Linked DNA regions of Drosophila melanogaster. The protein of the gene in region 1 purifies or fractionates together with the protein of each later gene. This does not show direct contact. Each region holds a gene or a part of one and is shown in the gene's direction. Other genes may lie near its edges. The genes, in order: Vha36-1 and CG5126.

Region 1 (15,255 bases):
ATTTCGAGCTTGTTTCGCCGCCTGACTTTTCAGCTGCCTTTGCCGTGTCTTTGCGTTTGAAATTGCCTTTTCTGTTTTCATTTTACGCTCTGCTGGCCAGCTCAACGCGGAGAGGTCACCAGTTACGGACATGGCCCAAATACACTGTTGACTAATGCCAGTCACTGCAAGTGTGTAACACGCTGGGTATCGCAAAATACAAGCCTTTATCAGCCCAGTGATAACGATTCTGCGTTGCTTATCGCAGACTTTCCGGTGACTACGACTACTACTCTCTTCAGACACCAAAACAGCAACGGATCAAACAAGCCAAAAACATGACAAAGTACAACATCGATACACGGTCAAACTTCTAAAAATACACGCGGTTACCAAGTCCATGCGTACGCCTAACTTGGCCGGAAAATATTACAAGTGACACATTATGATGGATAACCAGAAGTAGTTGTTTGTTTGCCAATAAACAAGTATATACAAGTGTTACGGATACAATTAATTAGTTTCACAAGTAGCTGGCACTAGCGTGGTAATAAATTTGTCAAAATTACAAAGTTATTTGTAATTAAATGAGCATCTGTGATCGCAGAATTCATCACTTTAAGGTCCCATAGCTACTAAGACTAGTTTGTGTTTCATTTGCAAATACTTGCAAGTGCACAATTATTGCACTATGCTCCACAACGACTACCTCTAAAACCAGAATGCAATTGCAATTATCCTAATTCATCCATTAGCTTCGCTATAGATAAAGACCTAATAGGTTAGAGTCCATCTAATCGAGTTATGACAAACTGAGTATGAAAAGAAAAGCTACAAAATAACAACAGAAATGTGTTTTGATGGATTATACAATCATGTAAATATAAACAAACATGGAGTCATCGGTGTAGGTTTGTCATTCAATCAATTAGGATCGTGACCCATATAAATGGAATACTTTCTAAGCCTGCCGTTTGTTTATATGTGTATGAAATCAAACTTTACGTTATGCCAATTTATAAACAGAGGGTGCACCAAAATGCAATAAATGTAACTGATTCAATGCCTTATGTAAATATAAATAAGATGTGCAATCAAAGTTTGCCATTCAATCAATACAGCAGGGGATCCAAGTGGACCTTGCCCCACGCACAGGCACATAAATACAAGCATGCAGCACGCTTATATGCGTTTACATAGGTATCTTTTGCATATGGTTGGGTCGTAGAGCCCCTTTTCCGCTGCCATCCTTCGCTTCCGCCGACGCCGCCGCGAGTGTGAGTCATGGATGAGCCAAATGAATGATCAGTGTTGACATTGGAAACGCTGACGGCGCTGTTGCTTGTTTTTCATTTTTAGTTATTTTGCACTTGCAACACACTTCGTGGCTGGCAGTGGGTAACGCGAAATTAGCTGGAAACGCAAATCGTTTGTCAGACGAGCAGACCGGGGACCTTGCAAAACCATCCCAATCCATCCCATCCCATTACCATCCCGTAGGTAGACGCTGTAGTTCTGCAGTTAAGCCCTGCGAAAAATCCGCTGGCGCAGCAGTTGAAAAACGAAACCGTATTTCAAAGGAAGCGAGGAAGCCCATGTAAATTTCGTTAGCCTAAAAAAACAGTCGCTTGCCTGGTTGGTTGTTTGCATTATTGATTGCAGGCAACTGCAGTGCTTGTTGGCCATTGTTGGGAAACAATGTGAAAAAGTGGGGAAAATGGAAAGTGCGGGCCACTCAAGGCAACTCCTTATGAACTATATTATCAACTCTTACAAAATAAATGGAGTGCCTGGCATCTGATGTTATAATTTTATAGAAATTGCTTAACCACCCTCACGACCAACCGTAAAACTACTTTATTATACTAAAAAAAAGATGAAAGTTTTAACATAACAATAGATAAATATGAGCGCATTAAAACACAAAATTAAAGGGCGAATATTTAAGCTTTAAGTCTGTAGCTTTTCAGATTTACTCCAAAATTATTTTGTTTTTTAATTTACGATAATGTAACATTTTTGTACAATGAAAAATCAGAAATTATGTCTATCTGTTGCTTATTATTGTGCTCATGTCGATTGTGAAACATTTATATTTTGAAACTCCATAAGTTGGCGAATTTTTCTCCCAGTACAGGGGATTATGTGGGGCATGTAAATCGGCACTTACCTCGGCGATTGAAGGGTCGCACCCTTACGGCGACTTTGATCTTATCACTAGCCATCGCGGATGTGGATGCAGCGGGTGTTGTTTTTGAATCTCTATTTAGATGAAGCGGAGTGGATATGCGGATGGGCGGGGCTCCCTAAGCGGGGGCTGCAGCGGGGGGCGTGGCTAGCTCCTTCTCCTCGGGCTTCGTTGCTTTTGACTTTTATGACCGTTAGTTGTTAGCGGTAGTTGTCGTCCTCGCGGGAGTTATGAGCACGCAATCTGGAAGGCAGGTGGAAGTCGTAAGCTGACTCACAAGTAAGTGGCTTTTGTGGAGCGCCAAAAAAAATAAATTATATATATTGTGTGAGTTCAATTAGCGCCACGCACACACGCGCACACATGTCTAACAGTAAGTGGGTGGTGCGGGGGGTGGTTTTCCATTTCGTTCTCGCCGTTTGTCATTCACTTTGTTTTGCTTTTGCTTTTTTGCTTTGTTGTTACTACACACACACACACTTGCACGCACACGGATACGTTTTATTGTCATGTGCTGGCATTCCGTTATTTACGCGAGACACACTCAAATATTTACTGGAAATTAGCTAATTAAGAATGTGATTCTAGTGTCCTGTCCGATTTTTCAGGGCTGTCCAAATAAATGCGAATATGTACATACAGACTTGATATTCTTTTCGCACTTTCACACACAACTACACCCCCACACACACACAGATCAGCAGGTATGCACTATGCACAGGTAGCTCTTTTTAACCCTCAAAAGCCACGCGAAATACAAAAACTTTACGAGCTCCACGAAAAGTTGGCGAAAAGCAACGCCAGGCTCCACCGCCCGCGCAAAAAAGTCTCGAACGCAGTGTGCGACTTCTTTGAAGAATCGATTTTTATGGCTCTTTTTCTTTCGAGGGGAGCAACACAAATGGGGGCCTCTTTTGGCTGCACACTCGCATTGTTTTCATTTGGGATATGCTTATCGTTTGACCGCACCTTTAGCTCCTTCGTTTTCGCACTTGGTTTCACTTCAATTTTGATTTTCTGTATTGCGTTTTCATTTTTCGCGTTTTCGTTTTTCTCAGCAATTTTTACTAGTGATGCAGAATCATCGATTGCTCTTGCGACTATCGATGAGTGTGACCGTGTGCAGGGTGCCCAAGAAATACCACAGTTTTCTTTTCTAAAAATACCAAAAACGATGTGCTTAATTCTAGTTTGGGTGGGTGAACTCGCTAAGTTCTAAAATTGAATTTTAGTGTGACCATTCACAGACCGAAAAAAGGGCTTTTTAAAATATCGTTATTTTCAAACTTTGGATCTATTAAAAAAGTGAATATATATATAATGATGTTATTGCAAATATTATATAAAGGTAACATATACAAAGGTAGAAGTATTGTCCAGCTAGAATGTTAAAAAATATTTAATAATTTTAAAATTAAATAAAACTCGTTTACTTAGCGTACTACAAACTAAAGTAAATAATCTGACCACGATCTTAAAATCATTTGAATTATCTTTTAAGAACGAATTCTTTGAGTCCCAGATTCCCCGGACCATTTTTTTTCAAACCAATGTATACTTTTTTTATGAAATAATCATAAGTTTTACTTATAGAACGTCATATTAGATTTAATTTGTTGTTTGACTTGTCATTTATTAATTTAATGTGGAAATATATCGGCTTCTTCCGTTGTATATTCCTGTAATTTATTTTGACCCTGTTGGAAAATAACCGTTCCCTAGTGGAACCATTCCATTTGCAATTGCATTTTAAGTGGCACTTCCTGTTTTGCAATGCTGATTTTCAGTACAGTGAAACCTATTTTGTTCCAAAAAAACTGAAGTTGGGTCGCATAAGTGGGCAACTTGATCAGTTGCGTTTTACTTTTTATTGATATTGATATATAGACGAATAAAAAAGCTACCAACGGAAAATGAAAAAGAAAAATGTAGTTCCTGTAGGTTTCTAGTTTCGCATATGCAAGGATCCACTGCCTCATTAAGGGAGCGACTTTCAACTCGGAAGAACGCCTCCCCATCATAGCGGAGTCAATGAACGCGATCGATCGGCGTGAAAAACGAGAACTCAAGACCGGCAATTTGAGCCCGGCCTAGTGACGTATACGTGTGAACCAAAAAAAAATAACGAGCCGATCGCAAATGCAGGCCGTTCCGATTCCCAAAAATAAACAAAGCGAAAAGCAGTTTCGCTTTCATCGCTCGGTTTGTTTTCATTCGTATCTCATTTTTTGTTGCTGTTTTTTTATTAATTTTTTTAACTCAATACCCGCTTGATACCTGTTCACGTGCGTTTTGGGCGCTCACGGAGTTTATAAAGGTTTGGAATCGCCGCAAAGGGTCACAGTATCTGCGAAAGACGCGAAGCTGCGAGTGTCGCGCTAAAAAAAAAAACACACACATCCTAAAAATTAGTTTCGATTGCGAATCTTACAAAAGTAAATAAACAAGACAAAAATACTGGTAAACTAATATTTTTTGGAATAAGAGCGAGTGCCAAGGACAGTTCTATATTGATTGGATTATTGTTTGAAAAGTAGGTCACTTCGATTAGTTGCAGATCCCGGATTGAAATCGATCCTTGACCCCCAAACGCGATCATAAGCAGGCAGTGTCAAAATATAAATCACCATTTTTCCTACAGCCATTCCATTAAAAACCAGCGTGCAGCAAACATGGCAAAACCAGAGCCAGTTCGCGAATATTAGTTACAAAACCCATCGTTTGTCCAAAGAAAAAACGAGGGAAAAAGAAACCAAACTGGGCGATCGGGATCCGCAAAGTTAAGGTGAAGGTTCATTTGCATAGGCAAAAATCGGAAAATAATATAATAGTGGATGCGAAGCCAAGCGCAGATTTACGATTTACCCTTGAAATGGTTTCATCGAATAGCCATTAGCTGCCATAAAATGCAAACTGGCTATCTGGGGACTTACAACTGCGAATCTCGACGACGTCTTCGAGAGCAAAGAAAACATTAGCCATATTATATTTATATTTTCGATAATTTTTGGCCCACGCCTGCTGCCAAATTGGCAAATCGCCCGGGGGACTTATTCTCGAATTTCTACCTCAATCAGCCAATGCAAACAACGAATTTATTTGGAATGAGTACTTTGGGCAAACGACAATAAGATGCCATACGCCTGGTCAAGCTTAATGTATGCAAGTAAATTCTGGAGACACCAGATGAAATGATCGTAGCAATATGTACCAGGCCATAGTCGTTGACCTTTGCAGACATTTAGTGGTAATAACACTGAACTTGGTGGCTTCAATAGTTGGCAATTGAGTTTCCATGAATCAGCGCGCAAGTGACAAGTTCGACAGTTTTTGCCTCGGGCATCCGTAAACCTTCGGGTGACTGTTCATTGTAGATACAGTATCTCACGAATTTCTCGTGAATCGAACTAATCCGATACATTGCAGCTGACATTGAGACGCACTTACTTGTTCGGATGCGGCTAATTGATATTTGAATTGAGCTCTAAAGTCCTCCACTTGGCCACCACACCACTTCCATGTTCTGCGATTTTCCTTTTTAACCCTTTTAATGTAAAGAATATTAATTAGTGAAAAAATGTAAGATCTCACATTAAATAGCTCTCTAAAGAAAGTTCTAGATATAAGAAAACCTATATATATTGTAAATGTTTCTGAACGAAATACGTTTCTTTAGCCCATTAAAGCATTGAATCTGGAATAAATCACGCATTATTTGGACAGCTATTTCAATAAAGATACATTCGATGTTACCTCTGTGATCAATTTAAACAAACAGTGAAAGTTGGTTTCTTAAAAGGTGCTGATTTTAAGGAGGATAAGAAATTAGGAAATAAATTGATTGGGATCTTAAAGGGTTAACTAATTTGAAAAACATCATTACTTCGTTACGCGTCTCGTAAATTTTTTCCGGTAGGAAGTAGACGTAACTTAAGGTCCAACTCGGTTTGCTTTTCGTAACTCGAGTGCGTTCGTATTGACGGGTCAACAATTAAACACCTCTTACTTTTCACAGCTGCCGCTTCGTTAGCGGTTCCTCGGCATGGAAAAGCACTGGAGATTGGTCTTGATCATCAGCATCTGGATTTTAGTGGTGAATGCAGCCGTGAATGAGTCCACTTTGCGACGGCACCGCTACGAGTACGGATTTCTCAACGGCAGCCTGGAGTTGTCCCCAGAAATTATCTCAACGGATATTCGGGGAAAAGAAGCAGCTGCCATCGAATCACCGCATGAACCCCATCTCACCAGGAGCTCCGTCATCTTCGGGCTTACCAAAGTGGCCAACGAGAGCAATGTGACTCCCAGCTGCTACGCCCACTTGAAGCAAGTGCAGCGGGGAATCCTCAGCAGGCAACCATGGGCCATGAAGGGTGAGTGACCAGAACTTTTAGTATATATATAAATATATACAATATAATTTTCCGTATATCTTTAGTTTTAGATGCGTCGGGAACCAAGCCATCCGGCTTTGTGTTCGGCCAGAACTACTGGCTGGGCAGTCGGGATGGATGTGAAGGTGTCCGTCGGCCCGTAGGCATCACCTTGTCGCGGAACTACGAGCGAGTAATGCACTACAGCATCCTCACGCAAAGTGCTCCCTTTGGGATGGACTACCGCGTGATATACATGCGCCACCGCTCACCGTGGCAGGTGGAGATTAAGGTGATGTCCGAACAGGTGCTCCACATTGGATTGTGCCTGCCCAGCTCCTGCAGCTCCGAGGAGGTGAAGCAGCTGGCCAGGTATTATGTGGCCGGAGATTTGTTCGCCGCGGATGATATGTTCGATATGAAGCCGGAGGTGCTCTACATGAAGGACCTCCGGCTGAGCGAACGCTTCTACCAGAGGCTGACCTTCCGTTTGGTGGTGGCCGCCATCCTGGTAACCGGTGCCCTAATGCTCTGCGCCCAGCAAGTGCGGGTGGCCAAGAGGGCCGATGAGCCGGATCTGGGTCTGGCTCCGGTGGAATCAGAGTTGTGGCAGGCACTGGATACCCTCTTGAAGTGGCAGCCTTTTCAGAGTTTCGTGTCCTGTTTCGATGTGGCCAATAACTGGCGGAAGATCTCCGCCATGAGGGAGAACCAGCCAGGCGAGATTCCCATTATGAATGGTCTGCGATCGGTGTGTGCCATCTGGATTCTGATCTTCCATGTCGTGTGGTACATGTACTTCACTGTGCACAACAAAACGGTACTGATATCCTATGCGGAACAGGTCTTCTTCCAGTACGTCTCCACAGCTCCACTTCTCGTGGACGTCTTCTTTACCATCAGGTAAATATAATCATTCGATTATCTAATGTATTTTGCTGATCCATTTGAAAACAAAAAATTGTCCAGTGGCTTTTTGCAAACGTACAACTTCCTGAGAAATGAGCAGCAGCTGGACGCAGTGCGTCGCAATGGCCTGTGGGGCAATGTGAAGCTCTTTGGCAAGCTGCTGTTCCATCGCTACCTGAGATTGGGTCCTCTCTACTTGGTGGTGATGGGCAGCGTGGACTTGGCCTTCGCCTACATCGGAGACGTTTCCGTTTTCCACATCAACGAGAGATTCGACGAGTTGTGCCCACAGCACTGGTGGAGGAATCTACTCTTCATCCAGAACCTCTTCGATCACCGCGAAATGTGCGCCAATTGGAGTTGGAGCCTCGCCTGCGACATGCAGTTCTTCCTGCTGGCAAACATCGTGCTCTTTATTTACGCCAAGTGAGTTTGGATTTAAAATCGCAAGGAAATATATTATTATTTTCATTATATTTCTATCCAGGCATGAAAAGCTAGCCAAGGCAATTACACTCACTGGACTAATGGGCACGATAACGTGGTCCTACGGCATTGGAATCGCCAAGAAGTTCGAGTTCTCCTTCGACTCCACCTATGCGACTGGCACTCAGATATACACGAGTCCCTTTGTAAGAGTTTTGCCCTATATCGTGGGAGCCATAGCCGCATGGTATTACCAGGAGCAGCGATTCCAAGTGAGTGAGCTGAGTGAACGCCGGATATGCCGGTGGTGGCATTTCAGTCTCAAGGTGTTCGTGGGCTGCATCTACTCTACGGTGAAGCGGGATCTGGGTTACCTTATCACCATATCGCTATTTGTTCTGGGTCGCGCTCTGTTTTCCCTCACCATTTGCTGGATGATCGTGGGCAGTGCATCGGGTACTGGCGTTTGGTGGTCACGCCTGCTGGAGGCCAAGTTCTTTCAGCATTTGAACCGCCTGTCCTACGCCATATATCTATTAAATCCCCTGGTGATTGCCCTCGTTTACAGTCTGACCAGTACGAGCTCTGCAGTTGATCCCTTTCTGCTGGTAAGTTGCATTCTCATTTGATTTTGCTTTTTAATAATATTGAGTTGTTTCTTTAGAGCGTCATCTGCTGCGGGTTTACGATGATCGTTTATCTGGCCTCCATCGCCTTTTCGCTGGCTTTTGAGCTGCCCTACAGCAATCTGTCTAGTTTGCTGCTCAAGGGAAAACCAAAAACCTCATAAACTGTGATTACCTTTCATTGTTAGCATTACATCTAAGTCATTTATTAATAGAAAGTTATGGTTATAAAATAATGTTATCTTTTATTGGAATTTTCGAATTTAGATATAATATTAAAAGAATAATATTATAGCAACGTTGCTGTTGGAATTTTTGAATTTAGTAACAAACATACTAATAATACGATATTTAATAAGTGTAGGCGCCAATGTTTTAAATTTCCTTGTGGATTCCATTGGATTCCACAACGTGTGGTGATGATTAGGTTTGCACCTTCACTAACTAATGAAATCCACACTTTTGGTTGCTTTCAAAGAAGTTAAAGGTAGTTTTGGTTGTTTTAAGTTGTAAACTGATATTGTTAACCAGCTGACTAACTTTCCCAGTTCAGAAGTATCACACATTTGAGCAATATATTTAAACGATCAACCCACCGAAGTGCGAGAAAGTGTGACCTGCTTATGTAAAAGTGATTTAGATACCGAGCTTTTCCGAACTGACTTTTCCAAAGCTTAAGGTATTTTTTATGAAAGAACCAACGGACCCACTGACAGCGTCTAAAAAAAAAGATCTTGTCCAAAATATATTGATTAGTACCACTGCCATTCTGCATTCTGCCAAACGAACCCGTTAAACAGTTTGCCCAGACCCGGATCCAGATCGAAATGCCCAAGGAAGAAGCGGAGCCATCGGCGAGTGGTCTTGCGGTGGCCGCCAAGCAAAACGATGTGCCATCCGCGGAAAACTCGAATCACAAGGAAAGCGACGCATACGCCTCCGCCTCTGCCAGCGCCAGTAGCGCCTCGACCACGCCCCCACCCGCCCAGGAAGACGCCGAGGAGGCGGAGCTGCTGGAGCGTATGCGCGGCGATGCAGTCGGCAACACCATGTACAGCAGTCGATTCATCCTGAAAACGGTGATGAGGGTGGGAGAATTACTGCGGCATTCAACACTGGATCAGCAGCTGGAGGATGACCTGTGCAAAGTGTGGGACATGTCGGTGTCCCCCGAAGTGGTCACACTGCTGCTGGAGAACGGAGCCATTGATCCGATCATGTACACCCTGGTGGCGGGCTGTGAAGATGTGCGGCTCTACGAGATTCTTATCGGACTGCTGGGCAATATGTGCGCCCAGGTGGAGTGCGCAGAGATATTGGCCTGTGACCGCTACACGTTGGAAACCCTGTTCAAGATGACATACTGCATGGACACCGCCATGTTGATACAGCTGATGCGACTCTTTCAGTACATCATGGCCCATGTGCTTAGCGGCAAGGAGAAGTTCGCTGTGAACTGGTACATCTGCTTTGCTGCCTTTGAGAACTCCGCGCAGAACCTGGGCAGGATATTGCAACTGTCCGTTAGCGATGAACTGCTAGTAGCTGCACTGAAGGCCACAAATGCTGTGCTGGCCAGTTGCGCCTTGGTGGAGGAGGAAAACGCAAACTCCACGTTGAATCTAAAGCCTTTTGCGGAGGTCTTTCTAGTGCCAGAACTCTGCGAGGGGGTCAATAGCGCGTTTTTGCGACTCATGCGCGATGATCAGACAAAATTGACCGACGAGGAAGCTGGCGAGGACAACGAAGATGCAGAAGTGCCAGCGGCCCACGACAGTGATGAAGATGCCGACGTCGGTTACGACTCGTGCGGACCAAAAATAACCTGTGATGTGGAGATCATACAAACCTACCTCAATATATGCACCATTCTGGTCCAACTGCCAGAGGCGCAGGCCTCCATGGATGTGTATGCACCCAGTATAGTCAGTTGTCTAGCGCGAATACTGCAGTTTTTGCAGCAGCCTCTGCAACTCATTCCATTAGGCGAACGCCAGGAGGAGTATCTCGAGGATCTGGCGCACATTTGGAGTGTAAGTTTGGAAAAGATACTTAATATTCGACGTTCTATTTAAATATTTATTTTTGCAGCGCCTGAAGTACTTCTATCACAAGGAGGCCTTCTTAAATCTTTTGGAATTGTGGTATAGACTTAAACAGCACATTGACAACTACACGGGGGGAAGTGATCCCGACGCCAATGAGTTCGAAGAGGACGAAGAGGAGGAGGATGACGCTCCAAAGGAGCAGTATGTGGAGAACGCCTTGAAGTTGCTGCGCCTGTTGGCATGTATGGTGATAAAAGCGGAAAACTCGGATCTCCAAGAGATTGGCGATGAAAAGGTGCAACTGTTTGTGTCTGCACTCAAAGCCGGAAAGGAAGAAGCCATTTTCTCAAGGGCACTTGAATGCTTAAAGGATAAAGTGGCTAAGGAGTCGGGCCAAGCCTAAACAACATGCCTCCATGATGGATAAAGCAAAAATGACTGAGATTGTAGCTTGCAGCACAATATATTCTTAACTTAGTTAGTCTCTGTCTTTACCTAAGGTAAATCGTCCAAGGTGCCGGTAGCCTTCAACTTATTACGCATCATATCGCTCCATGACTGTTTTCCCAGGCGCACGCCCTTGTCGCCTGTGCTGCTTACTTCCAGTCGATTTGTATTTGGATTGCTTAGCACGAATTTGTTCTTGCTCTCGTTGAGAGCATGGGCTACATGCTCCAGTTCGTTTTCCAATTTCACTTCGGGGGCTGTTACCTCGATGTGAAGATTCTGCTCTATGGCTTGGGAAATGTGTATGATAGCCTCTTCTAATAAGTTCTCGGCGTCGATTTTGTTGCTCCCCACTAGCTCAGAGAGTTGGACATTTAAATTTCCTCCTTTGGTAGTTATTTGAATATTGCCATGTACTCCAGCTGAAATTGAAAGTTTTTAGCATGATGGTGTTATTCTTCGTTGTTTCGCATACTCATATTGAGATCCGACGACTGATGGACGTGCACTTCGCTGCTTTTGTGGACATTCTTGAGCTCCAGACGCCCAGTTTGTGTCTGAAACTTTGACTTTTCCACATAACAACAATCGGTTACAATACTGCCAGCTTTGGTGGAACAATTCAAGCTGTCTCCTTGCAACTTATCCATCGCAATGTTCTAAAAAAGAAATATAAAGGTTAATAATAAGATCAGATTGATAGTAAATTTTTTCTCACCCCATTTTGTGACTCTATTTGGGTAATCTTGCCCAGCAATGTGCCCTGGCAATTGATGTTGCCATTTTCACTGTACAAGTTTATATGGGTGGCCTTGATATTTTTGGTAAGGATGCCTTCCTTTGCTTTGACTTGCAGCAGTTCACTCTGTATGCCTTCCACTCGCACACTACCTTTTGCGTCCACAGAGACATCGGAACGCACAGGTATTTGCAGATGGCATTCAAGCTTTGAGGGCTGCTCCGCCAGTTGTTTAACCACCACATTGACCACCTTGTCCTCATCGGTTACCTTCACATCGAGAGAGACATTCGAGTTCTTGACATGGCCGCCAACCAGTTGGGCGATAAACACATCCCCGCTGGTATACTGATGCACATCCGCGGGCTGGATGCGCAGGAAAACATCGGACTTCACGTTGATCCTGGCAAAGGGGTTTACATAATGCAGGATCTCCTGATGGACCATCCGCATGCTCACGGCCATGGCTGGTTTGATGTGGGCTCGCGACTTGTTCGCGTATTGGCGTAGATGGTTGTTTAAATGTGTCAACCACACGCGTTGCAGAAGCATTATAAATCCAATAAAGAAATGGAATTTATTAGATTTGTTTACTTTTAAATGCAAAATCAGCTGTGGCTGCGTATTTTGCAGTACTGTATCTAAGCGCACTACCCAGCACCAACTGGTTATCGATTGGCTACGGGCAGTAGCCAACACTGTCATCCGTCATTTTCCAGTTGGAGTTTTTCAGTGTTCTGCGACGGTTGCAGTTTTCTTGATACGCAGTTGAAAATTGTTTAGTCCAGCCAATTACCATCCGAAAAAAACAGCAAAATGTCCGGAAAAGATAGGCTACCGATTTTCCCGTCCCGTGGTGCCCAGATGTTGATGAAGGCCCGTCTGGCTGGAGCCCAGAAAGGTCACGGTCTGCTCAAGAAGAAGGCGGATGCCCTGCAGATGCGATTCCGTTTGATTCTGGGCAAGATCATCGAGACCAAGACCCTGATGGGTGATGTTATGAAAGAGGCAGCCTTCTCGCTGGCGGAGGCCAAATTCACGTCTGGCGACATCAACCAAGTGGTGCTGCAAAACGTGACCAAGGCCCAGATCAAGATCCGCACCAAGAAGGACAACGTGGCTGGTGTCACTCTGCCCGTTTTCGAGTCCTACCAGGACGGATCCGACACCTACGAACTGGCCGGTCTAGCCCGTGGTGGTCAGCAGCTGGCCAAGCTGAAGAAGAACTACCAAAGCGCCGTTAAACTGCTCGTGGAGCTGGCCTCGCTGCAGACCTCATTCGTCACCCTGGACGAGGTGATCAAGATCACCAACCGTCGTGTGAACGCCATTGAGCATGTGATCATCCCCCGAATCGATAGGACTTTGGCCTACATCATCTCGGAGCTGGACGAGCTCGAGCGTGAGGAGTTCTACCGACTGAAGAAGATCCAGGACAAGAAGCGCGAGGCACGCATCAAGGCCGACGCCAAGAAGGCGGAGTTGCTGCAGCAGGGCATCGATGTGCGCCAGCAGGCCAATATCCTGGATGAGGGCGATGACGACGTGCTGTTCTAAGTATTACCTTGGATGTGTTTATTCCAGCAATATTATTGTTAAACTATTTTCTGTTCTGTATCCGTTTCCATATTGTAATTCGCAAAGGGCAAGCCACAAACTTAATTGTACCTATGTAGCAAAAGTGTGTAGACTATTCCAATAAGCAGAAAAGTATGTATTCCATTTTTGTAGTGTAGTGTAAGCTGCGCAAATCATGCATTAAAGTCTTGTTGTATCATACGATGTGCATTCTGTGTAATAATTAAGTGGAAAAAGGGAATTTTCATTGCAAAAAGGGTCATCTGACTTGTTTTATACAATAGCAAAAGCAACAAAAACAATTGCACAGTCACATGACAGCAAACATATGTCTGATTGGAAGCAGTGTTGGACAGCGCTCGTAGGTGTTTCGCTTGCATTGGATCAGCTGTTTGCGTGGCTCTTTTTGTGCTTGCACGCTTTTTAGCCGAAATTATTTATATTTTTGTGAAACAATGACCGAGTTCCAGGCCGTAGTTTTTGCCGCTGGGCGTGGCACTCGTCTACCCGAGGTCTTGGGGGATGCCCCCAAATGCCTGCTGCCGGTGGGTCCATATCCTCTGATTTGGTATCCCTTAAATCTGCTGCAACAACACAACTTTACAGGTAATTCGGATAGTCTGAATTAAAAACCTGGATTTAATTGAAAAATATTTCAGAGGTCATTGTTGTGGTACTGGAGCAAGAAAAACTAGAGATCCAATCTGCTCTGGAAAACACTCCCTTAAAGCTGAGACTGGACTATGCCACGATTCCTAGTGACGGGGATTTCGGAACTGCCGACAGTCTGCGCTACATATACGATAAGATCAAGTCGGACTTTCTGGTGGTCAGCTGCGACCTGGTCAGCAATGTCAGCCTATATCCGCTGATCAACAAGTTTCGGGAACATGATGCCGCCCTTGCAATGCTCCTATTTCCCAGCGGATTTGAGTCGGACGTTGTTATGCCCGGTCCCAAAAGCAAGCACAAACCGGAAAGGGATTTGATTGGCATCCATGCGGCCACTCAGAGATTGGCTTTCGTATCCGCCGCCAGTGACTGCGAGGAAACACTCAACATCCAGCGACATCTGCTCAAGAACCGCGGAAGGTTGGATGTATACAGCCGACTGGTGGATGCTCATGTTTATGTGCTGAAAAAATGGGTTATCGATTATCTACGAAGGGTTAGTTTTGATATGACCTTATAGTAAATTGTTTTCTAATATTCAATCTTTGCAGAAGGAAAATATATCAACCTTTAAGGGCGAATTTCTGCCGCATTTGATAAAGAAGCAGCACTCAAAACGACCTCCTAAAACGGTGCAGGACACCACATCCGAAGTGGGCGTGGTCACCAAGAATGAGGATCATGTTTTGCATGTGAGTTACTACTTGGTATTAACAGGTTACCTTTAGTACCCGTATACCCGTATTGAATATCATATAAAATCCTATTATGTCTTTAACTTTCAGTATGTAGGCCACACCATTCTGGACCAGAAGATCACGCAGACTTCACTGTTTAACCAATCTCTATCCCAATCCCCCTATCATGGCGATATTGTGCGTTGCTATGGCATTCAGGCGCCCAGAGATGCCATAGGTGTGCGGGTAAACAACACTTTGAGCTTCTTGGCCATCAATCGCAAGTTAGCCAGCATCTGGAACAATCTGTGTGGCGAAAAGCATCCACTGATCTCTCCTGGAGCCGTGGTAAAATCAACCCAAACGAAGGAGATCATAGCGGCTGACAATGCCAAGTTGTCCGAAAAGACTTCACTGAACTTCAGCGTTTTCGGACCCAACTGCATCATCAGTCCCAAAAACATTGTGGCCAATTCGTTAATTATGTCCAATGCGATTGTGGAGGAGGGCTGCAACATCGACAACTGCATAATTGGCCATCGAGCACAGGTGAAGAGCGGATCCGTCCTGAAGAACTGCATAATTGGACCCAA
Region 2 (15,810 bases), on another chromosome or scaffold:
TACTAAATTTGTCGCACTAACAAGCAATAAAATGTTAAAAATCTGCGAGGCAGCCAACTCAACTATTTAATCTACTTAATGCAATTAACAATTTTAACATGACTGCCAACTCAGCGGCGTGTCATTTCAGCTTGTTCGCCAGTCTCGGCCAGTTTTGAGCCTTTTTAAAATTTTCAATCTGACCATATATTTTTAACCCCCAAGTGGGCTGCTGCCCACAAAAAATGCTGTGCGAAGTTTTGCGCTTCGGCGACCGTGTAAAAATCTAACACCTCAGTGGGAGCCAATCTACGGAGCAGCCTGCTGGCCAAAACCCATTCTCCGTCTCCGTTAATTGAAACTTGACCATGTCGACCAATTTGGCGGCTGCTTTGCCGCTCGGCGCGTATATATATGGTAAATCTGGCCATAACCATCTCGTCTGCCCGATTTCATTACAATTCGATTTAGGCACTGGCTGCGCCTCTAATTGGACGCCAAGCTGTGAGAACCCAGCTCTGAGAACTGGGCTCTTAAGATGAAGTGGAATTGAGGCACCAATCTTGGGAGGAACATGACCACAGTGCGTTGGTTAAGAGGTGCTTAATCAGCAAGGGCTAATACTATAGTCTATAGTATCCCAAGCTATTGGATACATCAGGATCAGGATCAGGACTCACCTGCTTGAGCGTCAGTCTCGCCGTGTAGCGCAGATCGCTGCCCTCGCGCTTGAACATGGCGTGCGGCTTGTCCCGGATGATGAACACAATGTCGGCGGGAATTTTTCCGGGCGCCTGGTCGCCCTCCTTCTGGAAGGTGACCTTGGTGCCGGACTTCCAGCCGGGCTTGATGGATATCGCCAGGAACTTCTCCTCCTTGCGGGAACTGCCGTCCGCCTGAACGATGCGCCGGGAGATTTTCATTTTCTTAACACAGCCGTGGTAGATCTCCTCCAGCGTCACATAGAGATCGTGTTCGACGGGCGGATCCTGCTTCTGCTCCTTCTTGAACGGCGTGTGCACATTGAAGGAGTGTGATCTGAAAGAGGGCCTGCGAGAGATGAGCAAGGAATTCCAGGGAGTACAACCTGCGCGGGGATGGACCAACCTGAAGCCACTTCCCAGACCATGTCGCGACCCAATGCCGCCAAAGGGCGAGGAGAAGAAATCGGGTTCCGTGTCCAGATCGAAGACCTTCTTGTCGAACAGGTTGTCGCCCATGTCGAAGAACGAGGCGAACGGATTGCTGTTGCCAAAGAACTGGGCGAAGGTGGCCCGCGGATCGCCGTGGAACTGATATGTAAACGAGTTGCTCGACGGACCGCCGTTTCGTGTGCCTGCAAGTCAGCATTTCAAGGTTAGCTATGGGAATGGTACTTAATGGTGTGTTGGCATACCTCCGCTCTTGAGACCATCCTCGCCGTATTTGTCGTACACCTCCCGCTTGCTCTTGTCCGAAAGAACCTCGTACGCCTCGGCGACCTCCTTGAACTTGTCCTCGGCGTTGGCGGCTTTGTTTTTGTCCGGATGATAACGCAGGGCCAGTTTCCTGTAGGCCTTTTTGATCTCATCGTCGGTGGCAGTTTTGGGCAGACCCAGGATTTTGTAGTAGTCCTTACCCATTGCAGGTTACTTCTGGGGGCGGGGGCGAGTGGGTTCTAAGTATGTGGGTAAAGAGTTGACTCTCAAGTTCACTGTAGTCTAGTATCTGCCAATTGGAGTGGGTATGGTATTAGAAGGGATCGCTTCTCTCAGCGTATCTAGTTACCTACAATAATATCAGTTTTGGGTTTCCATATATAACGAGGACCTGCTTAGTTGCTATCCTTCCCTTTATCCTTATAATGGCACATGCATCTTGTCGTTCTCTCTGGCTGTTTCACTGCTCTACTATCGCAAAAGATCTGCAAAAAGTCGAGAAATTGTGTATATATACATTTAGCTGTGTATAGGTAGTTCCATTCGGATCATAAGACGCGTCACTAAATTTCAATGTTGAACCGCCCACGCCTTTCACTAATTTTAGACCGGCCAGCTAGAAGTATTTATTCACTTTCCGGAACATTGAAGCTCTTCTATGCGCACTTCTCACCACCCTTACCAAATACACACACTCTTTATTGATGGATACTTTAATATATAATATAATTTAACTCAGCCATTTACTTAATATTATTAATATTTTCGCTTGTTTACAGCGATGAGAATTGCTCGCGAGCCAATTTGCATTGACGATAACATCTCCGAGAGATCTGAAGATCTGGGGTGTCCAATTGAGTTTAGCATGAGCCATTTGAATTGGAATTGACGATGACATTTATGACATCCCGAGATCACTGGGGTTGGAACAGCCCGTCGAACTATTCGTATGGCTTGATCAGTTGACAAGTCTATCAGGGGCGTGGAGACAGCTGTAACATAAAACTGTTCCTGCTTCGATCTACGAAACTGCGGTTTCCTAATAAATCAATCTACTGAAGATCACTGGACCTTTCATCGCGAAAAGTTAATCATCTTGGGAATCTGACAGAATCTGTACACAACCACAACAATCATGCCGCATTTATAGTTATAACTGGGCGGGAATAAGATTTTAAGGAGGATGGAAATAAAAAACATCGACTATAAATTGTCTGTATATAATACATATATTTACGAGTAGTTTATCTCTTTTGTTTTTATGATCAACAGCTATCATAACATCTCGGCATTCTATGATCCATGATAAACATGATGATCGCCGAGATCTTAATTGCACTGAGAAGGCCTGTCATCACTCAAGTTCAAGATCGCGTCCCGAAAATTCATTAGCATTCAAGATGTCAACACTCGGCCGGCAATCCGTACTCGAAACGCTCTCCAGCCTTGGACTTAACTGATTTCATCTTGGAATATCATTTCGAGATACATAGCGTTGACAATTTTGACGCCAAATGTGCGCCTTGAGTTGAGATTTTCATGGGGAGGGGAACGAAGCACGCAAGATTTGCTATTGGCGATATTGACAGCGGGCGATTGATGCGATCAGCGCCATTCCAAACCAATCCATTCCATTCCCGTCCAGAAATTAGTCAGTCATTGCAGTCATTGTGCACAAAATTGCCGGCGGATCGCGGATCGTGAGATACATTCCGGATCGCTTCCAAATGTGTGCCATATTGAGCGAGCAGGGGACAAGGTCGCAGATATTTTTGATATTTTTTTCTGAATTTTCCCCCGACACACTGCCAACATTTTCGTTTATTGAAAGAAAGTTTTTCTGTCTTTTTAGCAAATAAATAAAATGAGATATGCGAGAGATGTTACGCAAGGCGCGTTTATGCTATGCGTTTTATATGTATGTTTTGCATACTCCGATAATTGAATTATGTATTTTTTAACGGCGGAGATTTTCGCACGCGTTTCAATAATTCTCTTTATGATTCTTTATTGAATTATAGCCATTGTTTCGTGCAAAATTGCGGGCTTAAGGTGCAAAATAAATTCATGCCGATTGGAAATTACTTCGGCCATAAAAAGCCGCTTTTTATGGCAGTTACAACATGTTTCGGGTGGGCGGAGCCACCCACTTCCGCATGTATTATTCACCAGACACTGGCGGCAGCTCATTTATTGATTGCCGAACAACATTTGTTTAACAATTTATTGGACGCTGCGTTATTAGTGAATTGCATTTGCAACGTTTCATTGTCATTTCGTTGCATGCCGCACCCGGTTTATTGCATTTTGCAAATCTGCATTTGCATTTCTTTCCACTTCTGCCAGCATTATAAATTGTCGTAGGTTATGAGAGGCCAACTGGGGCTGGAGGAAATGAAAACTGTTTGTGTCCCCGGATTGCACTAATTGAATTGAACTTGATTTATTAGTGCGCGACTCGGCAACTTTAATTCCCAATCCCGTTCGGTGCCTCAACTAATGCCCACATGCCAAAATTGAGAAATGGAAATGGAAATTGGAATTAAAAGAATCCGAATTTAATAATGAACGAATTTCAAATTGGTGGAGTGATTTATGTGTGGCCATTCGGATCTCTTATTTATTGCCTGGGGCCTGAGGTTTCTCAGATAAAATCACTCACTAATGCCACAGTCAACATTTGTCTCCTCGGATAAACAAACCCGATCGCCACTTTAAACATTCGAACCAGAGCTAATTGATTGATAAATAGGCAAAAGTTTACTTGAACTATATACACCAGTTTTTTGGATTAGAAGAGCTCTTTCGTTACATCTCTTACTTAAGCAAAACTTCATTACCAATTTGTATCTGATAGATATATATATGTTTGTATATTTCAAAAAAGTACTTGCCAGCTTTTTTTTTCATAATAATTTGTAACTTTCCGTTCATTTATCTTTTGCTACATTCCACAAATCTGAGCATTCAAGGTTGTCAAAAATCTTGATCCCATGAATCTCATTCAAGTCCAGCCTTTTACTCTCGCTCTCAAAGATACGAATGCGAATCATGTTTTTTCCCTTTATTTGTATTTTTCAAAGTCACCAACAAAAGCCATTCATTGTCAACTGATGGCGATTGGCTGAATGGCAATGTTTTTGGCCTAAAACCATTCGAAACCAACCAGAAACCGATCAAACACCGTGAAGTTTGTTCACCCACACTCAGAATAAAAATGGTTGCGACAAGAATCGAACATTCGGCCGTGACCGAAGGCAAATCGTTTAGGCCAAGCAGCATTAGATGTCCAAAAATCCGCCCAAGGTCTAAGGTAACTACCAATTTCTGGGGTGGGTGTTTCCAAGTCGCAAATCCGCTGCAAAAATAGGTCCAATGACTAAGCGAGTTTACCTTTGGACGCGGAGCAAGTCGCCCACACAATCCGCAGCCAAACATTTTCGATTTTGGAGAAATGCTACTCGTCGTTTGGACAAGTGAATCAGCACTCAGCCATTTCCATGGGATTGGAGGTGATTCTGTTTTTCCGGCGCGGTTTATCTTGCAGATGAACCTCTGTTTTCGCCGGAATTCGTGCTAATTTGCAAAGAGCATTGATTTCTGGGCGGCAAAACATGCAGGCAAGCATTCCGTTTCCGTTTATTTATGCAAACAACCATTTTGCATAGAATAACTATTAGCAAAGATTTTTAAATTCAAATTGCTGCCTCACCAAAAGATTGAAAAACTTGTTTCAGCTGTTTGGAATATGCGTTCCTAGTGCAAAAATGGTTGTTGATTTGTTGGGCACTCTGATTAAAATAAGTTGCAATGATGTTTACTCAGGCTTTTAGTAGAATTATTTGCAGAGTATTCGGCTTATGGAACATTGAATTTATTTAATTTACAATTTAATACACTTTTTTGGATTTCAGTTAGCTTGCCAAGTGAGTGAATCTTCCCAAGTGAGTGATGAGCTGTATTTTAATTTCCGCTCTTATAAACAGGGTTCATTAATTCATATAATTAAGACGAGCTTTTTTTAGCTGACGACTGAGAGATTGAAATTAATCAATTTCCACAAACAAAGCCGCGAAAGTTTATTTCCTTGTGTCTTTCGCCATAATTACTTGCTTAATTGGCGCCAGCTCTCACTCTCGTTTTTTCTTTTCGAAAAACGACGAACTTTGCATGTGTTCTGCGGCTCGAAGACCGTCAAAACAATTCTGCGACCACGCCCCCGCCAGTCTTCCGCCCACGCAGCAGCTGTTCGAAGAGTGGCAGCGCGAAGAAATGCGAAAAGTACTCTCCTCCGCATATCTTTTCTCTTCCACTCGCGAATGTGTCATAATTTATAAATACTGGGCAAAAACAAAAAGCCAGCGGTTCGAACAGAGAGATTCTGGTGTGATTATGATTAGCGGCAATCATCAGAGTTTTCCTTTTATTTTTACACTCTTCGCTGGTAATTTGTTGCCACTTGGTATTGGCCACTTGCCTTGGTATTTGTATTTGGCTGGGACTTTAAGTTTGGAGGCCAGCAGTCTTTTTCGCCAAGTGCCTTCAATCATAATCGGCTCCATTGTGTGTTTACTTTTTATTTATGATTTTGTGGCCAGCGAATTTGAGTGTTTGAAAAATGAGGCAATAGTTAGTGGACATCAAAAAAAGCAGAAATACTCATTTGAGTAGTTTATTTATGGGATTATTTTGGAAGGTTCGTTTGGCTGAACTCTATACACACTAAGTACTACATTTTGTGTTTTGAAAGTGATTCCCTCTGATCTCTCCACATACATATATTCCCCGATTTGTGGTCCACCCTAGGGGCACCTTTAACTAAACCGAATTTCAAAAACACAAATCACTTCACACATTGTGAGCACACTGTAGAATTTAGAATGGAAGCCCCATATGAATATTCCAAAGAATCGGCATGAAGATTTCGGAAAATAATCAGGCAAACTGAACTCAGCAGCAGCGAAATTGGTGAGAACAAAAAAAAAACATATACACAAAAATAACTAAAAGTGCTAAAAATAAAACTTATTTAAAGAAATGAAACCATGAAATTCAAAAACACACAGGCCAAAGCCAAAAACGATGGCAAATACAAAAATATAAATAATATCGCTTTTGGACTTGGCAGGTATACTTGGCGTATACTTTATATAAGGGTTTTTTCGGTTCTTTCCGCTCCCCGCGAATGCTCCAATCGGAATCCTGGCCACAAGCAAAGGCGACAGCGCCATAAAAAGCACGATTGTTTGTCGACTTCGAAATGTTTTTTCATTTTATTTTATTCGCTTTTACCACATTTGGCAAACGAAACGAGACAAAATCACACACACACACACACACTAGCCACTCCAGCACTCACACAAACGCACACACACGCACAGCAAGTCCGTGATTAATTGTCAGTGGAAAAGCAATAAATTCGGGTGGCTCCTTACAATCGATTGGCGGCTGATCGGGCGTATGCTTGATATGGACTCGCAATCCTTTCGACGGCTTTCAGAATGTATTATTAGCGCGGGCTTCTCGCTGCCAATTTACCGCCAGATGCGTGCAGCACTACCGTTAGTCAGTGGTTCGAATCCGCGACAGAAACAGCGATAAAGTGGACGCGACAACGCTTGGGGACTCACTGAACGATCCACCGAACCAGCAGCAGCAGCAGCAGCACCACCACCACCACCACCACCGCCACCAGCACCAGCACCACTTCACTGCCCCGATCTCGCGCTCCCGCTCTCAGAGATCTCGAGTCGCGGGTATCTCTTGTCCCCCAGAGAGTTCAGTCCAAAACAGATATGCGCCAAGCACTGAAGAGAGCTCCGAGCCAAGTGGAGAGGTTTCCCAATCATCTCCATTCATACCGCACACCTACTCTAAGAACGGACGAAAAGAGGCCGTGGCAAAGGCGAAAATCAAGTAGAATATCACAAATTGGTCGGTCGTTCCACGCGAGATCCACGATCGCCACCGATTTGCACTATGCGTCATACTATGGCTACATGGAGCTTTTTCCCATAGGTAACAACGAGTCGAGAGCTTTACGCAAGAGCGGAACAAACGTGGGCAGAGCAGAGATGAAAACCAGTATTCTGCTACCCTGCTATGGGGTATGATAGACTAACCTACTAACCTTAACTTTAAGCAAAAAAATAAAATAAGCAAAATAAATTGTATCCACACAGTATGATTGAATTTTATGATGTAATTTATTTTTCCTTTTTTATTCTATGTCTAATTAAGTATTTATTCTTATGAAAATAACTTACATGACATTTGACATGTAAAATACATGAACGTATGTGTCAATTAAGAAATGCCTCTTAGTCGGAACTTTGGGTTATCAAAACACAAAGGTTGCTATGTGATGATGTTAGCTGGAGGCCACCTGCTCCTCCGCCACGTCCTCTGTTTCCCGTCTCTTTTCGGTCTTTGGCTTCTGGTCCTGCTCATCAATCCTCTCCGGATCCGCAGGCAGCTGGATGTTTACGGCAGACAGAGCTTCTCGTATCCAAGCCGGAACAGGTTCCGCCTTGAAGTGTCTCGCCATAAAGTCCGCGACGAACTGGGGGAACTCATCGCGCTGAATGGCCTCCCGCATGCTCCTCATCAGCCTGAGCTGGTAGGCCACGTTGTGTATGCTCAACAGGGAGCTGGAGACACTCTCGTTGGTGGCGATGTGGTGCAGGTACGAGCGTGTGTAACGCCTACACGTGCTGCAGTCGCAGTCCTTGTCAATGGGCTCCATGTCCAGTTTGTACTTGGGCTGCTTCAGGTTCAGCTGCCCACTGTCCACCAGGGCGCAACCAAATCGAGCTGTCCGGGTGGGGAAGACACAGTCGAACATATCGATGCCCAGGGCCACGCAGACCACCAGATCCGCCGCAAAACCCACGCCCATCAGGTAGCGCGGCTTGTCCTTGGGCAGATAGCCAGTGCACACGTCCACCATACGCCAGAAGTCGTGCTTGCTCTCGCCACCACTTAGCCCGCCCACGGCGAAGCCTCGAACCTGGCGCTCCATGAGAGCGGAAACGCAACGCTGACGCAGCGGCACATCCAATCCTCCCTGGACGATGGGGAACAGCGACTGGTCATCGTCGCGGGCATGGGCCTCTATGCAGCGATCCACCCAGCGAATAGTCCGCTCCATGGCCTCCTCCACCCGGGGGCCAGTTGTTGTGGTCTTGACCACATCATCCAGCTGCATCATAATATCCCCACCAATGGCGTTCTGGATTTCGATGGAGTGCTCCGGCGTCAGCATGCACTGGCTGTTGTCAAAGGGCGACCGGAAGTTCACACCGTGCTCATCGATCTCGGCCAGCTGCAGCAGGGAAACCATCTGAAAGCCACCGGAATCTGTTAGAATGGCCCTGGGCCAGCCCATAAACTTGTGCAGACCACCGGCTTTCTTCAGTGTCTCGATTCCGGGCCTCAGGCCCAGGTGATAGGTGTTCCCCAGCAGAATCTGGCAGTTCAGCTCGATGAGCTGGTCCGGCACGATGCCCTTCAAGGTTCCCTGAGTGCCCACGGGCATAAAGACCGGGGTGTTTACCTCGCTGTGCCTGTTTAGGAGAGTTGGTAATGCGGCTTAGTCACAGTTTTCAAGGCCTATCTTATTGCAGACGCTCACCTTAGGGTCATCAGTCCCGCCCGGGCTTTGGAGACGGAGCACTCGGCCACGACCTTGTAGGTCAGCGGAGGAATGTGGCTGGGACCCATTGAGTTAGCAAAGTCCAGAAAATTCCCCGTGAAATGTCTTATGTTTACGCGCAATACGCCGGCGGTGCACGTTTCAATCGCGATTCTGTGTGACCACTTCGCTGAAACCGGGAATATACCAAAATCCTGCGCGTGGCTATCGATACCACTTTGATTGGTTGCCCGGACAAATATACACCTACTTGCGTATATTGTCAGTTAAGATTACCCATTCAGATAGCAATTGATTCCTGCGTGGAGGTCACGATGTCGACGCAACAGCAGCAGTTAGACTATATAGAGCGCCACCTGGTGTACGACATCTTCAAGAACTTTGGTCCGAGTGCTTCGCTGGAATCGCACAGCGTTGAGTGCTCCAATGGACTGGACGGCTTCATGTCCGCCTTGTACACCGTTACGCTGGACGTGGTCATCGCCGAGCGCAAGCGGACGGAGGTCGTCCTGGTCAAATTCATGAAGGGAACGGAAGAGTTCCGGGAGAGCAGCAACTCGTACATCCAGTTTTCCAACGAGATCTTCGCCTACGCCGAGATCCTGCCCGCCTATGAGAATGTGCTTCGGACGAGTCACCTGGAAAGCGAAGTGGTAAAGAACTGGGTTCCCTGTTGCTACTTCGCCAGGTTTGGCCACGTTGAAGGTGCGCATCCCACAAAGACTTTATCCATGACTACATCGAATGTTTACTTTTCTGCAGGTTTAGGGAATGGTAGGGAATCGGTGCTGGCCCTAAAGCATCTCAAGGGCGATGGCTACCAATTGGGGCCAAGGCTAACCCTTCGACGGGATCAGCTGGAGGCCATGGTAGGACTAGTGGGTCCGTTCCATGCTCTGGGCTACGCCACGAAAATCCTCCAGCCGAACGTTCATGCTCGTTTGCGCGCCGGAGTGGTGGACATGCCCTTCGTGTCCAGCTCAGGAAAGGGCATCTTTGATGTCCTCTATCGCGTGGCTTTCGATCGGTTCTACGAGTTCTACGACCGGCAAAAGGAGCAGCTCCTCCAGGGGGCAGACCCCGGATTCGGGGCCGCCATCGAGCGACTGCGGGAGAAGTACTTCAAGCAGCCAACTCTCCTGCTGGAGAGAATCCGCACCAGCTCCTTTGCCGAAGATCAACCGGACAGCCACTTTGCCACCTTTCTGCACGGCGACTACAACAGGAACAACGTGCTGTTCCACTACGGCGCTGAAGATAAGGTGGACGCTATCAAAGCCATCGATTTCCAGGAGCTGCGCTTCAGCACTACGGCCATTGACCTGAGCTTCTTTATGTACATGAACACGCCATCCGAAGGAAGGAAGGAGATCTACGCCGACTTGTTGCGCAAGTACCATCGAAGCATGATCGAAATGTTGGAACTGGTTCTGCGCCGAAACCGGAACGAGTTGACCGACGATCGGGTGGACCAGTTGCTACAGGAATACAGCTTCGAACGCTTCAATGCCCACTTCAAACGATATGCCTTCTACGGACCAATGGTATGCATGCACTTCCTTCCCTGGCTGCTCGGCACCGAGAAGGATTGCGCCGAGTTGTCCCGCCTCTTCGAGACGGATATGCACGGCCCCGCCTTCCACCAGTTGTCCTTGGACATCGCTGGCGATGAGGCGAACCAGGAGATCTTCAAGACCGTTCGTCACGCCTATGAGCATGGCTACATGGACGAGATTTAGATTCCCTTGCACAATTCCATACTTAAAGCATTTACAATTTAAATTTAAACCTAATTTGAGACTGTATTTACGAACTATTTACAATTTGAACTTCGCAACTAATGCTAAATGAACGCGACAAGGTGGAGGAAGTGTAATCGAGGTAAACAACAATGCTTAAATGCCCCTATATTCAAGCGGAATAAAATCATACACTTTAAGAAGAGTCTCAGGCGTTCTCATAACGCTGCTTCATCATCTTTTTGATGTAGGATTTGTAGTCGTTCCCAGGCGCCATATGGCCAGTGTTGTTGCCCAGCCCCACGTTGTTAGAACGACCATCAGCCTGTGGATACACATTGACATTGAATTATCCATATTTTGCCATTCGTCGCCCTCGTCGACTCCTACCTCTATGATCTCGGTGCGTCCCTGGTTCTTTTTGCCCAGTCCCTGGCCCTCCGACCAGCCCATCTTCTGCATCAGGCGGCTGCCCACGTTGGTCGAACTGATGGGCATGGCTGCAGTGGCGCCAAAAGAATCCTTCTGGCGCGACTGCAAAGTCTTTATCTCTTGCTCGAAACGCTCCCGGCTCCTATTTGGTGGAGGAGGATCGCTCTCACCGTACTTCAGCCTGCGTTCCTTGGCACGATCACGATAGCTAAGTACGGGTAAGTAAATTAGTGAGTTTATCTCCATTCTAGCAGCATATTCCCACTTACGATAGACCCTCATCCGTGCCAGCCTCAACTGCGGGATTCCGTTTAAGCTTGTCCAGATTCTCCTTGTGTAGATTCGACATTTTCAAATGCTTCTGCAAGATGTCCAGCGATTGGAAGGCACGCATGCAGAGCAGGCAAGTAAGTTTTTGGAAGTCCACGTAGTCAGATTCATCGCTAATGGCTCGTTTAGTCCCAACGCTAGCTTCAAGTGCTTTCTGATTGGCACTATTATCATCTTCCGAGTCAGAAGGTCCTCCATAAGCACCAACCAATTTGCTTATCGCTGGAGGTCCTGCCTCCGGTACATAGTCGTTGAGCTTGCCAAGCTCCTTCTTCTCAAGGATTGAGAATCCCACATCAGCATATGCCCCTTGGGAAGCACGGGAGGTGGTGGCCGCCTCAGTATCCGACAGGATAGGCTGCGGCGTTGCCACTGCTGTGTAGTCCTTTTTTTGGTTTAGCTGCTTGGCCCACTTCTCCATGTCCTTGACGATCTTCTTGGCCACCTTCACCTTGTCGGGCTTCCCCCCAGCTTCCTCCTTTTCTTTTTCCTTCTCCTTTGCCTTTTTGGCCTCCTCCTCCTTTTTCTCGGCATCGGCTAATACTTCCTTGAGGGCTGCCTGAGTGGAAGCGGGTGTGGCCAGCACATAGGTGCTCCGCTTCTGATCCCAGTACAAATACGCGCCCGTCTCGTTGTTGTAGTAGTACTGCGAGTGGGCATCATAGTAGAGTCCTGTAACGTGGTCGTAGTAGTAGCCGGAGGTCTCGTCGTACTGGTACTTGGACACATCGGGAGTATCTAACCATTGAGCATGAAATATTCGACATTACAGGAGCGCATAGATAGAATAGTGTGCGCTCACTTACCGTATTTCTTGCCATCATTCCCCTTGGGAGCACTTTCACCCCTGGCAAGGAAGGCGACCTTCGCCTCTGTCACCGAAACCGTGGTCTCCATCTGGCTGACCTTCCGTTGCTTGCGCTGGATGGCCGAGAGAGCAACGGCAGCGCCGGAGTTGGCCTCCGTCACTTGACGATCTCTGCAGTTCTTGCTTATTTCAGTCGTGTAATAATCCGTATAGTACTGGACGTAGTTAGCATGCTCCAACGGATTCGAGGCATACACGGATGCACTGTACTCCGCAAGACGAGGCACATCCGCCAAAGTGTAGGCCGCCGTAATGGCCGACGGAGACATCGCTGTTTCACCTGCTCTAAAAAAGTTGCCTTCGGCTGGCATCATTTGACGGTTTTCGGAGTCAATGCAGTAGGTGACGATAACTGAAGGGCATGGATTAAAGTTTTGTTTTTTAATTATGAAATAATTAAGAAGTAATAATTTACCTGTTTTGTCGTCCAGAGTGAGTGGCGGATCCAACGCCGTCAGCCCGTTGAACACGTTCATAGAATCAATGAGTGTGTCAAAATTGAGGTAGCAAATGCCCCGAGATGCATTGGTTAGGGCGTCGCGACTGACCAGCACCTTGCTGACTGTTTTGGCCAGTTCGGGCAGGCGCTGCTGAAGGGCAGTTAGCACGCCCTCCTCGTTTGTCAGCGCGTCCAAGCCGCGAAGCATGATCTCTGCATGGGGAAAGCGTGGCAGGTTAGTGGGGTATTTAGCTGATTAGCTAGGAAACGGCATTGAAAGATATTGCTCATGGTGGATATACTTTTTGTGAGGATTTGGCTGATCTCGTCGACGCCCTCGCCGGCTCCGTAAAGAGCATTCTCGCTCTCCGCCCGCGACGCATTGCACATGTAGCATTGGAAGCGGCGCTTAAAGTTGCTGGCACCACACTGAAGGATGGCGAAAAAAGCTAATTATTGTTGCCAATCTGTATCTTAACGGAGCATACCTTAATGCAAGTCCAGTCTGAGATGCGAGTGTGACTATACTGCATGGTGACACGATGATCGCCCAGTTGGAGGACTCCCTGAACGGAAAAATAGAAGAGGTAAAATTGGAATTAGTAACTGAAACTGCTGATCAGGCAAATCGTTCACAGACTACACAGTCACCAAGATTGCATCTGTGTTTTTCGACATCACGCAGATGCTGGTTGCTTCCTTTACGTAAGATTCGATTCCGCCTTTGAGTTCAGTTCCCTGATCTAAGACAGAAAAATGGAAGGGACAGGCAGCCCACCAGCAGAATTGAACTCAAGGCACACATTTTTCAACAGTTGATGCCAAGCTATCGGATCTTGCCGTCATTTCTATTTTGGCGGATACGAGAAGATTCAAGATTCTTGTGGTTTTTAGGGATACCTGGGTTAACTCCATCCAACGAGTCGCCTCCTCAACGGTTTTAAACTCGACAAATGCAAAACAGCGTGAGGCACCTAAATTTTAGATAGAAGTAGATACGAAAATGTTTGGTCAAAAAATGTTGGTTGTATCATTAGCATTGTGTCATTTTTGGGGATTGTGTTTTTGTTTCGGTTTGTAGTTTTCTATATGTTTTTGCTGATGTCGAAGCCAAGTATAATTGAAATTGCTATAAGTCCTACATCGAACATGTTGCTGGGCACGCAATACTCACGCTTTCTCTACAATTTCACTTTAAATCGAATGTAACACACGGAAATGTAACCCACCTGTTTGTTGCTTCCTCATCACGCGAATGGATGTGGGCTCCAGGTCGACCTTGATCAGCTCGCCCATGATCTGTGGAGGATTACTTGGTTAATTTTACATTCGTTCTGCTTATCGCTTAAACATTACGTCTGCTTCCGTGACGTGCTTCTTCAGACCGAAGAGGATTATGTTGTTCAAGGGCTCAACGCTGCTGCCACTGTTGTAGGCACCTCTCTGCCTGAATTCGCTGGCCATGTCGCTGTCCTCGTCCGAGGAACACCGTCTATCTCGATCGCGCTCCTTCTCGCGATCTCTGTAACTGCTGCTGGAGTTACTATTTCCATTATTATTGAACTGCCGCTGGTCATTGCTGCGGCTGAAAGGAAAGCGATTCTTTAAGGTCATACAATGAGCACTTTGTCGAATAAATTTTCGTTCGGTTCGTTTGAAACCATCGTTTGCATACTATCCACTGTAATTAAAGGCATCCAGCATGAATATTTCATAAGATGATTTGTATGCATTTATGCGAACAAAGGGAAGTGTACATTACTGAATGGGTTGATTTCTAATTATTTTGACTTTTATTACAAGTGATTAGCAAATGAAAGGTCTTTTAAACTAGTGAAAGAGGAGTCCTCCTTCTTATGGAAGCCTTGTGAATGGAAACATAGAACTTAGCTTAATCTTAATCTCAGTGATAACACTGAGCACGATATGGGTAATATGCAATATGTATCATTTCTTACCTGCTGCGCTCCGATCCCCGATCGAAGTCATCATGGTTGCGCTCTCTCGAAACGCGATCGTAGTTTTTCCAGCGGTGATCGCGGTCCTTATCCATATCCTGGCCACTCTTGTCGTAGTTGCTATCGTGATCCCTGCGACCCTGGCTATCAGCATGCCGACGATCGTATTTGTCCTCGCCGTGGCGCTGGTCAAGGTTCTGTCTCGAGTTGTAGTTTCCCTGATCCTCGTAATCCTCGTTGATCAGGTCGCGGTACAGATCGCGATCCGGACTGCGGTCGTTTCTATAGTGTGAGGACCGCTCCCGACTGCGCGAACGGGAGTTGCGACGTCTGTACTCATTGCGGTCCCGACTTCGTTCCCTGAAATAATCGCAATTGGTAGTAATCCACTAAGAGGCTCCAGGTGGACAAAGGACTACCTACCTGGATCGGGATCGGGAGCGACTGTAGCGTCTGTAGCCCGATTCGCTGCCGTTTCCGTTGCCGCCCGAGAAGCTGTGACCATATCGAGAATCCATATCTAATGCGAATCGATTGTAATTAAATGCAGTGTTTGTGATTTGGCCTTTTGCCATTAGATGAACCGTCTATGTGCGCACATCTTACTTGGTTACCACGACTGTAACAGGATTGGAAGCTGGTTAAACTTGTTCCCGAACTGGAAGTCTCTTTGCATTCAGGCAGAAACAATCAGTTATCCGGCCAAAAAAAAAAACCCGAATAGAAAAATTCTCGGTCTTCTTTTTTGCCGTTCACCCGAAGTATCTGACTGCCAGTTATCGATAACTGACCGATAGCTCCAGGGCTACCAAGTGCCAGCTAACAGTTGTTTCCCAACACCAAGCAAATTTAAACTTTACACCGTTACATTTTATTTTGTACATTCGAAAAAGGATTTAAATTCGCTTAATCAGAAACTATTAACTAAACGGTCACACTTGCTCGTGGACTTAAAAAAACGCCAATCTGTTAGGAAAACAATGCTCAAGAAGC

The links.
Region 2: the proteins of Vha36-1 (region 1) and CG5126 purify together in Drosophila melanogaster (affinity purification with mass spectrometry, with the first as the bait; one large-scale study listed by BioGRID). This does not show direct contact.

What each region holds. Positions count from the first base shown.
Region 1 is NT_033778.4:15,528,986-15,544,240, forward strand, and holds Vha36-1 (vacuolar H[+] ATPase 36kD subunit 1), read left to right. Parts: upstream 1-12,449; 5' UTR 12,450-12,551; coding exon 12,552-13,292; 3' UTR 13,293-13,513; downstream 13,514-15,255. Other genes in the region: Khc-73 (kinesin heavy chain 73), read right to left, coding at 2,150-2,204; CG30471 (uncharacterized protein), read left to right, coding at 6,210-6,540, 6,606-7,443, 7,510-7,875, 7,937-8,483, 8,540-8,665; CG30467 (uncharacterized protein), read left to right, coding at 9,329-10,534, 10,593-10,952; CG8187 (uncharacterized protein), read right to left, coding at 11,045-11,418, 11,472-11,655, 11,715-12,287; eIF2Bgamma (eukaryotic translation initiation factor 2B subunit gamma), read left to right, coding at 13,769-13,919, 13,973-14,481, 14,537-14,677, 14,771-15,255. UniProt on the Drosophila melanogaster protein: Subunit of the V1 complex of vacuolar(H+)-ATPase (V-ATPase), a multisubunit enzyme composed of a peripheral complex (V1) that hydrolyzes ATP and a membrane integral complex (V0) that translocates protons.
Region 2 is NT_033779.5:1,177,475-1,193,284, reverse strand, and holds CG5126 (uncharacterized protein), read left to right. Parts: upstream 1-9,264; 5' UTR 9,265-9,365; coding exon 9,366-9,756; intron 9,757-9,813; coding exon 9,814-10,790; 3' UTR 10,791-10,988; downstream 10,989-15,810. Other genes in the region: CG5001 (uncharacterized protein), read right to left, coding at 660-1,029, 1,087-1,315, 1,376-1,601; Tgt (tRNA-guanine transglycosylase), read right to left, coding at 7,768-8,962, 9,031-9,119; CG4896 (uncharacterized protein), read right to left, coding at 10,999-11,115, 11,181-11,430, 11,492-12,290, 12,359-12,772, 12,836-13,072, 13,162-13,288, 13,348-13,425, 13,760-13,833 and 4 more.